3 linked regions of the Coturnix japonica genome follow. The protein of the gene in region 1 interacts with the protein of each later gene in a pairwise test. Links are inferred from orthologs where the notes say so. Each region holds a gene or a part of one and is shown in the gene's direction. Other genes may lie near its edges.

Region 1 (3,646 bases):
TTCATGTCACTTTTGAGAAGTTTACAGGTGGATTGCAGGGCTGGAGATGAAACACTGTGAACCCTTCAGCCTTCAAGAACTCAGTATTTGCTCACAAAGACTCTGTCACGTAAAGGATGTCAATGGCATTTTGAAAACTCTAGCTATTCTCCTCTCTGGTGACCAGCGATAGAACCTGTGGGAACTGAAACAGGGTTGGAGGTTGGGAAAAGGTTCTTCACCAGAGGTTGGTGGGCATGGAATGGGCTGCTCTGGGCAGTGGTCACAGACCCAAGAAGCTGGAATTCAAGAAGTGTCTGCACAATGCTCTCAGACACAGGATTTGATTTTTGGGTGGTCTTGTGTGAAGCCAGGAGTTTACTCCATGATTGTTGTGTGTCCCTTCCAACTCCGGAGATCCTATGATTCTGTGAAAAGGAAATATGAACCAAATTTGATCCCAAAGAACGTCAGTTGAATAAAAGGGAGAAAATGGAGATATTGTATGTTATCTTGGAATTCATTTGTGGCTTGGGTCTGGCTTTCTTCTGGGCTATGGGGAATCCTCGGTCCAGATTTTCAAACCCCAGATGTTTTGTTTAGGTTGTATGTGTGGCAACTTGAATCTAGCACCTGAATCTGAGCTTCTCATTAATTATACTATCAATAGAGCAAATCCTGTTCTTACAGCATGTGGAGGGAGACCTAAACCAACCCTAAGGAAACCCATTTAATCACTAGGGGTGGTAAGCAAACATCTCCAAAACACATTCTATGGATATTCCGTGGAAAGAGCAGATTACCAGTCTGCAAGGAATTAAAGACATGAAGCAGAGCAGACTGTCTGGAGGGCTTCAAGAACATTAATATGTGCCAGGAATAACCTTGTCATTATAGGTTAGGTTATTACAGGTATACATTGTGCTGAAAAATAGAATCCATTGTCACAGCATGTCCATTTTTCTTTATTGTATTAAAGTCATCGAAAACAATTTTAGTGTTTTCTGCTATTCTGATGAATCCAGTTTGTTTTCATTTGGTTTGTGGGTTGTTTTTTGTTTGTTTTTTTTTTCTAGGCAAAAAGCCTTGGTTGCTACTGGTCAAAAGTCAGTAGAAGATGCTGCAAAATGGTAAGCACCTGTGATTTCTGAGGAGTGCTTTCACATCAAAACTGATTAAAAACACTTGTTCACATACTGATTCTGTTACTCAGAATGAAGTTAGCTGCTTTTGAAGACGTAGCATATGAGGTTTGTTTGTTTGTTTGTTTTTCATTTTAGTTCATCAGAGAAAGAAATAATTGTATTTACACTAATTCTGGGAAGCAAGGTTATTTGCAGAGGGTCTGGGGTAAATCAAGAGTTAGGGAGCAAAGAGACTCATGGGCAGAAGCAACTACTTTAAACACAGTGATGTCTCACAGGACTGGGGGACTGACAGCTCTGGGCAGACATCTGTCCCCAGTTTTAAGCCTCTTAATTATGGGTTATTCACTGCAATAGGGCTATAGTATCTGAGTTGTGATTGTGTGCATACATGGGGCATAGCCAGACAGGCATTCAAAGCTACATCACAGTACATGTGCTCCCTGTCTCATCATGATGCTTGTGTCTCATGGTACCTCATGGTGTACACCCAAGGAAGCCAAGAAAAGAAGAGTAGGTGGCTTACATGCTTTCTCTGTGTGATGTGTTTTGTTTTCAGGTTGCATTCTCACTGCAACGATCCCTCTTTGGATGACCCAATCCCCCAGGAGTATGCTCTTTATTTGTGCCCCACTGGCCACTTGTATAACTGCCTGCAAGTGTTCTGGAAGGAGAGCAAGCGCCAGTGCGGGAAGAACAGAGCCCATGAGATTTTCCCTCACATCACACTCTGTGACTTCTTCACGGTAAGGAACAAAAAGTGATTACTGGTGGAACTGGACAGCCTGGTAATTCCAAGCCAACAGGCTATTGCTATGGTACCATTGCTATAGAGCAGCTGCACAAAATATATCATACTATCATGTATATCATACTATCATGTGTAATCATGCTGCTGAGCATAATGAAAATACAAGCATTTTGTTGCAAAATATAGAATAGTGTGGTGACCTGTAGCCATTCATCACAATTATGCAAACCAAAAAACATTAATAACGAATGCTGTGCTCTCGAGAAGTGTCGAGTTTAAAGGCCTGACCCTGGAAGAGATGCCTGAATTGTAAACCTCACCTCACACACCTCAGCTCTGTTTCAGGTAGTATATTTCTAGGAATGAATGCACACCCTCCAGTGCTATTCTATGTTCCTCAGCTGTCAGCAGTAGATGACTTGGATGCTTTCCATATAGGATGTAAGACTCACTGCCCTGCTCCCACCTCTACCTCCCAACCCAAACTCTCCTGTTTCCTGACACCCTGCATCTCCTGCGCCTGAGAGGAGCAAATAGCTCTGCTAAGGAAAAAACAAAAGCCACAGTGTGGAACTGGAGCATCATTTATGTCTGTGACTTTGGCTTTATGGCATAAATTTAGTCTTCTTCTATTTACTTCTTAAATTGTTTAACTGACACTTTTTGTGGAAGCATGGCTTTGTACAATCCTTGAATAAGCTGTAACTAAGGGACAAAAGATCCCAATTACAAAGAATCCATATTAGCCTTCCTATGTATGTTGCTCAGCTCTTAATTTTTTACCAGAGCAAAGGACTGTAGGATAACAAATTCTTACTTAGAACTGAAGAGAGAAGTCATGAACTCTGCCTCGTTTCAGTTTACTTCAGATGGTAAAATCTCATGCTTTTTCTTCCTTCACTTAATGGTAAAAGACCCCATCTCCTGAGGTAGTGTCATCACACAGCCATGTTTGTAGGTGTGTTATTTTTCTAAGGAAGTAATGCCCATCCAGTTTTCTGGTGTAACTTTACAAGACAGGCAGCCACAGTGGGTACTGATCTTACAGTGTAAAGGATGCCCTTCCTCTGTTTTTTTTTACAGTGTGAAGACCAGAAAGTGGAGTTACTGTATGACATCTTAAAGAGAATCTGCAACAGCTTTGCACAGAGATTTCCACCAACTGTTTCCTTATCATTACACTCATCCACCAGCTACCTTGGTTTCTTTGTTGGTGACAGCGATGCAAATATCCTCAAAGAGTTTGCTGTGGCCTTCTCTTCAGAAGCTTCAGCCCTGGCAGGTGGGATCAACATAAGAGGGCTGAGTGGGCTGTTGTGCAAAGGCATAGACATGATAAGGAAACCATCTCCCATGTCTCCACAGCTGTGTGGCAGATGTTTTACTGCTGACAAGCACATTTTCCTCCCACAGATTCAAAAACAATGTGGCTAGAGGAGCTTGATTTAGATTCTGAAGATGTGCTGCTTTTGTCTAGGAGGTTTTTGCTGAACTCTATGTACAAGAAAAGAGAAAGATGCTAGCAGTCTTCATAAATTTATTCTTTTTTTAGGAAATTCAGGCAAATGTTTTACCTGGCAACATCTTTTAGGCAGCAATCCCTTAAAACAATATGCGATCTTTGTTTTCTGGGCACTTATGCTGTGCTGCTCATAATGGGTTTTGAAATTACCAGAGGGTTATTCCATTTTGAGCTCTTACAGAGTCATTTCTGTGGAACTGGCTTCATTGGGTTTGTTATTATCTGGTTTTCCTCCCTTTACTTTTCTTA
Region 2 (4,446 bases), about 38 Mb from region 1:
ACTGCTTTCATATCTGTAGGTGGGACAGCTCACTGCATTATGTGTTCACACCTGTACTTTAGAACTGGCATTTAAACTTCTGATTTCTCTGTAAAACACAGTATGGTGGATTTTCTAATTTATACACTATTTCTGTGCTTGGTTTATATCCTGAAAAAAAATCAAGCAGGCTTTCCCTCGTCCATAAGCTTCTACATGTTGTCCATTACCTATTTTTGCCTTTACTAAGCTTCACAGTGAAGTGAAATCAACATCATTCTTCTCCCGTTCCTATGCTAACCCGCGCTCATCCCTCCCGGATGAATCCCATGGATTTCCCGGCGCAGCCTGAACGTAGCACACAGTTCTGAGGATGCCCAGGTTCATACTCAGCAAATCCCACTCATCACTGGTGACCCCGTGGATCTACTAGGGCCGCATGAAGGGATGAACGCAGAGCTGTGGTCGTCCCATAGAGAAACTATGAGAAATAACTCTCAGCTTCATAATGTTAGTACATAGTACTACATAGCCTTCTCCGCCCCCTCCTCATCCTCCCACCCCATTTTTATTAACAGTGACCCCTCTCTCAAGCAGCGATGACAGCAGGTGGAGAAGAGGAAGCGCTGCCAACTGCCTCCCAGCATTAAGAAGAGCTCTCAGGGCTTTCGCCCCGAGAATTTGCTCATGTAAATAACGCGCCACATCGCTGCTCGGCACGCCGGGTATATTTTAAGCAGGGCCACACGTGATAGGGGTGTACGAGCGCTCTGTGCATGCCGACGTGGATACGCCGCTGTGCGCGCTTTAAAGACCCGCTGGCGGCGCGGGGTGCCCAGGCCTGACGGCACTGCAGCCCGTGCAGAGATGACCGGCTGCTCCCATATCAAGGGAACCTCTCTCACAAACAGCCATTTCTATCAGCTGCCCGTGGGCCGCGTCCCGTACACGAGTGGGAATCCATTACAATGGAAGTTTCATAAAAGCGAGCGAAATTACAAATGAACGACGCTGAGAAACACCCCCCGGGGGGCTCTTGGAGACCCCGCTGTGCCCCTGCCGCCGCCCGCCCCGCGCTGCCCCGCGGGCCCCGCTCCGCGCCGCCGTGCCGCCTCCTCGCGTTAATCCGCGGCACAATGCCGCGGGCAATAAGCGGCCCTTCCTGCTGCCGGCTGGGGGGGTAGGGAGCAGAGAGTTTAAACTTTTTATTCCATAGAGGGGGATTAAAAAAAAAAAAAACAAAAAAAAAAACAGAAAGAAAGAAAATAAAAAGAAAGGGAAAAAAAAAGAAAACATGGCTGGGGGAGGGGAAGCACCTGGGAATGGGTCTCCCGCTCCCCCCAGGGAAAGCAGCTCCCCTCGACCGCCCTGTAGCCCGATCGCTGCTGGCCCCTGGATAAACACGCGAGCACAAAAGCAGCCCCGAGCGCCGTGTGACCGCGCACGGAGCTGCCTCCTGCGAGAACAGGCTGCGGCCGGGCCCGGAGAGGGGCGCGGGGCTCCGCACGGCGCCGGGGCCCGACGGGAGCGGGGCCGGGGCCGGGAGCGGGGCCGCGATTGTGGTGGAAGCGGCGGTAGCGCTGCCCTTTTGAATGCCTCCCGCAGCTCGGAGTGCTGGCAGGGCGCTGGGAGCGCCAGTGAATGTAGCCCCGCAGAGCCAATGAGCTGGGACCGGATGCGATATATCCTCTGGGACAACAACTGCTCTGTTCCTCCTCAGATCCACATGACGCCATTTACTGCTGCTTTTGCAGAGAGATCACCCTACCTCCTCCGGAAAGAAAAAGAGAGAGAGGGAGAGAGAGAGCGAGCAGAAAAACGCCGAGCCCCTCCAGCTCAGATCTCAAACCTTCCTCCTCCTCCACCTCCTCCAAACACACAACAACAACCACCACCACAAATCCGCTGCGCTCCCCAAACACCCCCCCCACCCCCCCGCTCGCAAACCGCAGAGCCGCCTGCAACACACTCACACACACACACACACACACACACACGCTCGCAGAGGGAGCGAGAAAGCCGAGGGAGAGAGGGAGAGGAGCGTGCGGCGAGCGGCGTTCGGCAGCGCGGCCCCCCCCCCCCCCGCCCGGCTGCTGCTGCTGTTGCTTCCTCGGATGAGTTCGCTGGAAGAAAGCTTTGCCATCGGATTTTAGATCCACTTGATTTTGTTTTCTGTGGCTTTCTCCTTCCTCTCGATCCTTTGCAACGGCAGCAAGAAAAAAAAAAAAAAAAAAAAGGGGAAAAAAAAAAAAAAGAAAGGTGACTCGGTGCTGGCGGTTCGGCCTCCTGTTCATTGAGGGAGAAAAAAAGGAAAGTGTGTGAGAAGTGAGTTCTTTGGAGGAGAACAGAAAACCCACCCAGATCCGGAGAGGTGTTCTGATTATTACTATAGCACATAGGCGCACACACGTTCTTACAGTCGAGCTGGGCAGAGGGGAGGACTGACTTTACTCCGGACTTTTTTTTTTGCAAGCCGATCGTTCTGATTCTCATTTGCAAGTTGGACGAAAGCAGAGTTTGGAAAAGAATTTTTTTTTTTTTTTTTTTTTTTTTGCTTTAGGGCTGGATTTATTTGCAAACCGCAGGAAGAAGAAAATACAACAGAGAGAGGGGTTTGGTGCAGCGCCGCGATCACGGTGAGAGCCTTTTCCTTCTTTGCAAAACAAGCTTTTCAGTAACCCCCGCAACCCCCCCCCCCCCTCTTTTCCCCCTCGTATCCCCCCCCCTCTCCTCCCTCAGCGCTGCTCCAAGAAAACTCGTGGAAATGTTTGAGGCCGATCCTTTTTCCACTCGCACAGGTTCTCCCTCTCCCCCTTTCCCCTCTCCTTCCTTTCCCAGAGAAGAGCCGGAGGTGGGATTTCGGAGCTCTTTTTCTCTCCGGGGAGGGTTTTGCGGGCTGCGCTTTATTTGCGCCTCGTCGCGGTGCTCCGGGGGGCGCGAGGCTGCGCGGGGGCGGAAGGCTGCGCGAACGTACACGCGTGCCCGGGGGGCTGCGGGGAGGCGGGGGCCGCGTATTCCCGGCTGCGGGGAGCCGGGCACGGGCGGTGCTGCCCCGGGGGAGGCGCAGGGAGGGCGCTGCGAGGCCGCCGGTACCCCCGGCCCGGGGGAGCGCCGTGATTGACGCCCGTGTGTGGTGGCGTCGGGAAGATCCGTGCCATTCGGAAGTGAGTGCACGGCTGGTGTGTAAATACATCTGTGCGGCTGCGGGTGCGTGCGTATTTCTCGTGCGGTGAAACTTAATTCGATTCATGAGACGGGGAAACTTCACTCCCAGGTTCTACTTTGCAGAGTGTGTGTGTGGAGGGGAAGAAGGACTTTTTTTGTGGGGGTTTACTGTGTAACAGGCCCCCATCCCCCCACCCCCCTCCCCGATATATATATTTATCTGCTGGTGTTCTCAGCATGTTACTTGTATGTCAGCTTGCCCAACCTTGATGTAAAGTCGCTTTTGCCCTAATCCAGAGTCTGATGGCACACTCTGCTCTTAATGTGGGTTTCAAAGCACTGTGAAAGCAGAGACGGTGACGGGGGTGTTTGCGGGGCGGTGGGGGTGGGGGTACTGCGCGGCTCCGGACACAGCACAGTAAGTCCCGGGCAGGGACCTCTTCCCCCGAGGCCCCCTCCGCGATGCGGGGATTTTCCACACGCAGCACGCAGAAGCCCCTTGAGTTTGCCACTTCCTCGGACGTGCGAAGACGAAAGTTGCCTCCCCCCCACCCCCCCGGCTCGCCCTCCTGCCAATCCCAGCCAGGAGTAGGCAGCGGTCGTGGCACTTGAGCTGTGCGAGAGTGGACTTTGGCTTCTGGAAGTGGGGAACGGTGTTATCGCCCACATGCACACACAGGAAGGCCAAGCGCTGGAAGGGTGCTGGGTCATAGGGAGAGTCGTGCTTTCTCTCAGAGCTTTCGGGCATGGCTGCAAATAAAGGTGCTGGAGGTTTACATCCTGTCCCGTTAGGGTCTGTCAGGGGGAATAAGGAAACATGGCCCGGCTCGGGTTGACAGTGCCTCCTGGGCAGGGGCGGGAGGCTCAAGTTCGGGCAGTTCTCTTCTCTGGCGGCTGAATGAGCGCTCAGGGCAAGGCGAGGGGGGGCAATTTGCCTCCTGCCCGGCTGTCCCGGAGGTTCTGTCTCCAAGCGTCTGCGGGGCGCCGCTCACTGCCCGGCCGGGAAAGGCTTCCTGAGCATCTCCCGGGGGAGGGCAGGGGGGAAGAGTTAAAAGGAAACATGGGTTTGACTTTCCTGATAAGGCGACTGCGGCCGCCCCCTCCCACCTCCCGGCCCGGGGATGTCTCCTGTTAATCTCCAGGTTGTCTGCACTCGCGGGGCCGCCGCCTGAAGCCACGGGGCTCCGCGTCCCACCTGCTGCGCTCCCGCTGCGCGGCCGGATGTAGCCGCGCCGGGGGACGTCCGGCGTCCGAGGGGTTCTTGCACCGCGCTCGTCCCCAGCTCTCCGCAGGTCGGGAGCA
Region 3 (3,646 bases), about 36 Mb from region 1:
GCAGATTTCAGTCCTACTGTTCTTTTTCTAGTAATATTTAATAAATGTTGTGAATTTTGCCCAAAGGTCAGGCCAGGCATGGAGAGGCAGGTCTGTTAGTGGATTTGGAATAAGAAACAGGTTGAAAGACTGGACAAATTAAAAGCGTCTGTAAATACATTAAAGTATTTGGCTTAACTCTACAGCAGTGAATGCCAAATCACTTAGGCTCTTCATCTACATTTTTCAAGAGAAATAAGCAGAGGCTCTATAAGTGCTTCTTGCTGATATGCTGGCCAGTGAGAAAGTAAAACATCACCCAAGCCAACAAGGGCCAAGTAAGATATCACTTATTTGCAAACAGGGGAGATTATTCAAAATCTAACTTCCCTGCAAAGGCTGTTAGGCCTGTGTTAATGTCTCCTATCATCACTTTCCTGGCAGTGGAACAAGATGAGCAAAGACAACTACTGCACTTGTTGTTTTTTTCTCCTCCATGAATATTTCAGTGAGATGCAGTAATTATTTATAATAGGGAAGTACCCTATTGGTATTAATTAGTGGAGGTCAGGCAGGACACGAGGGTGTTTCTAGAGTTCAACAAGGACAAGGACCTCTAGAGACCAGATCCCAGATAAGCTGAAATGGGAAGTGGATTTGAGCAGCGGTACCGCAAAAAGGACTCAGAGTTTTCCAACTTATGTCATAGTCAGGATGACAGCTTTGCCTGCTCTTTCTAACAGAGAAATGCCCACTCACGGGCGAGTACTGTCTGTACCAGACTTGCGACCAGCTTTCAAACAGGTCCAATATGCTGCTGTGCTCAGATGAAGTTGGCCTTTCTGCACATCCAGAAGGACGCATACATCAGCTCCTGCAGTACAGGAAGTTCTTGCCAGAGCAAACACGTGGCTGTCTAACAGCCATCTGGGAGACATGGAAGCTGTCAAAGGCACAGTCATTTGGGCATGTTTTCTTCTGTAAAACTCCTAAAAGTGAACCGTGTGGCAAACCAGATTGATTTAAATGAACAGAACTGCAGTGGCTGCTCATGCTGTAGAGTTAGCGCTTCTTTGTTTAGGTCTGTGTTTGCATTTTTATTGCATGACACGGCAGTTTAAATGCACATGTAATACTTTATTTTTAGTAATGAAGAAAGCTTATTACTAAAAGTACTGTTTTATCTATATGGTGTAGGAACTACAAGTGCACGTGGACCAAATTACAGAAATGGCAGCGGTAATGAGGAAAGCCATTGAAATTGATGACAAGCATGGCTGTAAAGAGCAGGAACGTATCATTCAGCTTGAAGTAAGTATGAGATCTTTTTTTGAGATTTGTGCCAGTGATGGCACAAATAGGGATCTGTCTTCCTCTACCCTCCCAGTGAGAAATGCTCAGAACTGACTGTGAGACAAGAAGTTGCGATTACACACAGATCAGAGTCTGGCTGTCAGAACAGGGAAACTCTCTGCCACTTATTTGGGGAGTTGGGGGAGCAGGTTACCGCTACCCAAATACGTTCACACAAGCTTTAAATTGTGCTCCACGTCTCTAAACAAAATATCTTGTTCTGACCCTACAGTTCTACCTTTCTTTTACAGTCTTTCAGTACTTTAGGGTTTAGGAATAGCCAGCTTCCCGTGCATCTGCTGCCAGTACTCAAAGCCAGCATTAAGATAGCTGCGTGCTATCTTCATGGAGCTGGACTGTTTCAGGTAATTAGTTTACTTAGGAGAATTAGTTTGATGTTGTATCAAGGAGCTGAGGGGGCTGTAGCTGACATGAGATTGGTCTCTGCTGCGGTGCCATCTTTCCAGAACTCGGGAGCAAATCATGTTCTGTATTCTTGCAGTAGATTTGCTGAAATTGCCACAAATCCTGAGATGCTGATTTAGACTTTTGCTTTAGTCACCTGCTTGGTTTTCCAGTCTCCCTCGGTATTAAATCATTTCCTTTGACAAAGGTTTTCCCAGTGCGCTACCAATTTGGCTGCTTTTTTATAAGACGTTGTGGAACCAAGTCACACGTTATTATCGAGTGAGGAACTGGGTGCAATGTTTAATTATTTCCAATGCTGCTACCAACCCTAACAACAGTTTTTAAAGTCAGTAAACTCTTCAGTAAAGGGATCCTTTCTGTTTGTAACTCTGTGGTAATCCGGCACGTAAAACAAAAGCCGCTTTGTGCACTTACCTTCTGGTACAGTTCGTTGTGTGTAAAATGCCTTTGGTTCTGTTGTTCCCAGTGCTTCAGTTATTTCTAGAACTCAGCCCTTAGCAAGGGTGTTAACCTTATCACAGTTACTGAGTTACTGTCTCTTTCTTGAGTTACTGGATCATTCACTGGTACTGCTAGTTTGTTGCATGTCTTTTGTAAGTGTGTTTGTAGTAAAGGGAAGGAGAGATCCTTCATGTAGTTATCTGACTTTCTGGAGTTCTATTAAATGCCTTTTTTTATCCCTCGGTTATAGCAAGAAAACAAAGGCTTGAGAGAAATTCTTCAGATAACCAGAGAATCATTCCTGAACCTTAAGAAAGAAGATGCATCAGAGAGTACATCCCTTTCAGGGTTAGTAACAAGCAGTGATTTGAGCCTGAGGAAGAGCTGAAGACTGTGGAAGCCAACCAGCTTTAATTGCACACTTTACAAACGGAATATCAGGGGTCACTTGTCAAGCACTTGTTACTGAATAGGGCACCAGCAGGCTTATGCATCTTGAACTTTGGTTTAGTGGCTTTTATACCGTGTAAAATAAACTCCAGTCGGTACTCTCTGAATACCGTAGTGACAGATTAATTGCCATAGGTCTAACTTCAGTAGGAAATGGGTTAGTGCACTTATGGAATTGGGAATTATTTTTATATGAAGTCATTTTACAAATAAAATACATAATTTCACTTAATTTATATAATTTATTGCTCGGACAAAACTTCAGTGCACCTATTATACAATAAATGCAAGATTTAAAGTAGTCTGATATCTGGCTAAAAGATAGCGACTGACTACGCTTTGTGCATGCTCCATAGTTCATTTGTCCTTTTAGTTACTAAGGTTTGTGAAATTCAGCATTTAGCAACGAGCCTCTTTAATGGAAAGAGCCAGCAGAAAGCCGACGGGCTCCTGTTAGCCGCAGGCTGCCCTGTTGCAATGTAAGGCCAGTTGCTCAAACATAAGCAATACTTTTGCAGTTGTTTTTACCTTATGAGAGAAAATGAAGCTCAGTTCTCTGTGGGTGGCAGGCTGCCGTAGTCTCATCTGTTTCTTTGGGGATTGGCTGCCCAAAGCTAGAAACAGCAATTTGAAAGCACTCAGACCGTACTGAGGGAAAGATAATTGGGAGAAAGAGGTGAGAAATTCTATGGCAAAGTTAGCAGACTGTGCACCTGGAACTATTATTTTCTTTCTTTAAGTACTATTTAGTCAAGGAGTTTTGTGTATTTTCACTGGGAGCTCTCAATACATCACACTGACAAGACTGCTCACTTTTATTAGTGAAAAAGCTGCAGAGGTGAAAATGAATTAGCGCTTCTAGAACAAGAAGTAGCTTGCACGGTTTGCCTGTACACCAGAAGTGCTTCGTAAGATGTGTTTGCCATGAAAGAGGCGCCGCAATGATTGACAGCTGGCTTTTGTCAGACCGCTTCTGCTCATTGTTCAGAGCGCT

The links.
Region 2: the proteins of UBASH3A (region 1) and SPRY2 interact in binary tests that used the Homo sapiens proteins (3 or more experiments, as listed by UniProt). The two-hybrid records come from large-scale screens. The link is inferred for Coturnix japonica from reciprocal best matches to the Homo sapiens genes UBASH3A and SPRY2.
Region 3: the proteins of UBASH3A (region 1) and FGFR1OP2 interact in binary tests that used the Homo sapiens proteins (3 or more experiments, as listed by UniProt). The link is inferred for Coturnix japonica from reciprocal best matches to the Homo sapiens genes UBASH3A and FGFR1OP2.

What each region holds. Positions count from the first base shown.
Region 1 is NC_029516.1:98,576,764-98,580,409, forward strand, and holds part of UBASH3A (ubiquitin-associated and SH3 domain-containing protein A), read left to right. Parts: intron 1-1,055; coding exon 1,056-1,109; intron 1,110-1,683; coding exon 1,684-1,870; intron 1,871-2,958; coding exon 2,959-3,157; intron 3,158-3,646. UniProt on the Homo sapiens protein: Interferes with CBL-mediated down-regulation and degradation of receptor-type tyrosine kinases. Promotes accumulation of activated target receptors, such as T-cell receptors, EGFR and PDGFRB, on the cell surface.
Region 2 is NC_029516.1:136,861,022-136,865,467, forward strand, and holds the start of SPRY2 (protein sprouty homolog 2), read left to right. Parts: upstream 1-1,551; 5' UTR 1,552-2,304; intron 2,305-2,539; 5' UTR 2,540-2,615; intron 2,616-2,734; exon of another isoform or gene 2,735-2,830; intron 2,831-3,919; exon of another isoform or gene 3,920-4,446.
Region 3 is NC_029516.1:62,494,003-62,497,648, forward strand, and holds part of FGFR1OP2 (FGFR1 oncogene partner 2), read left to right. Parts: intron 1-1,176; coding exon 1,177-1,290; intron 1,291-1,583; coding exon 1,584-1,697; intron 1,698-2,452; coding exon 2,453-2,590; 3' UTR 2,591-3,646. UniProt on the Homo sapiens protein: May be involved in wound healing pathway.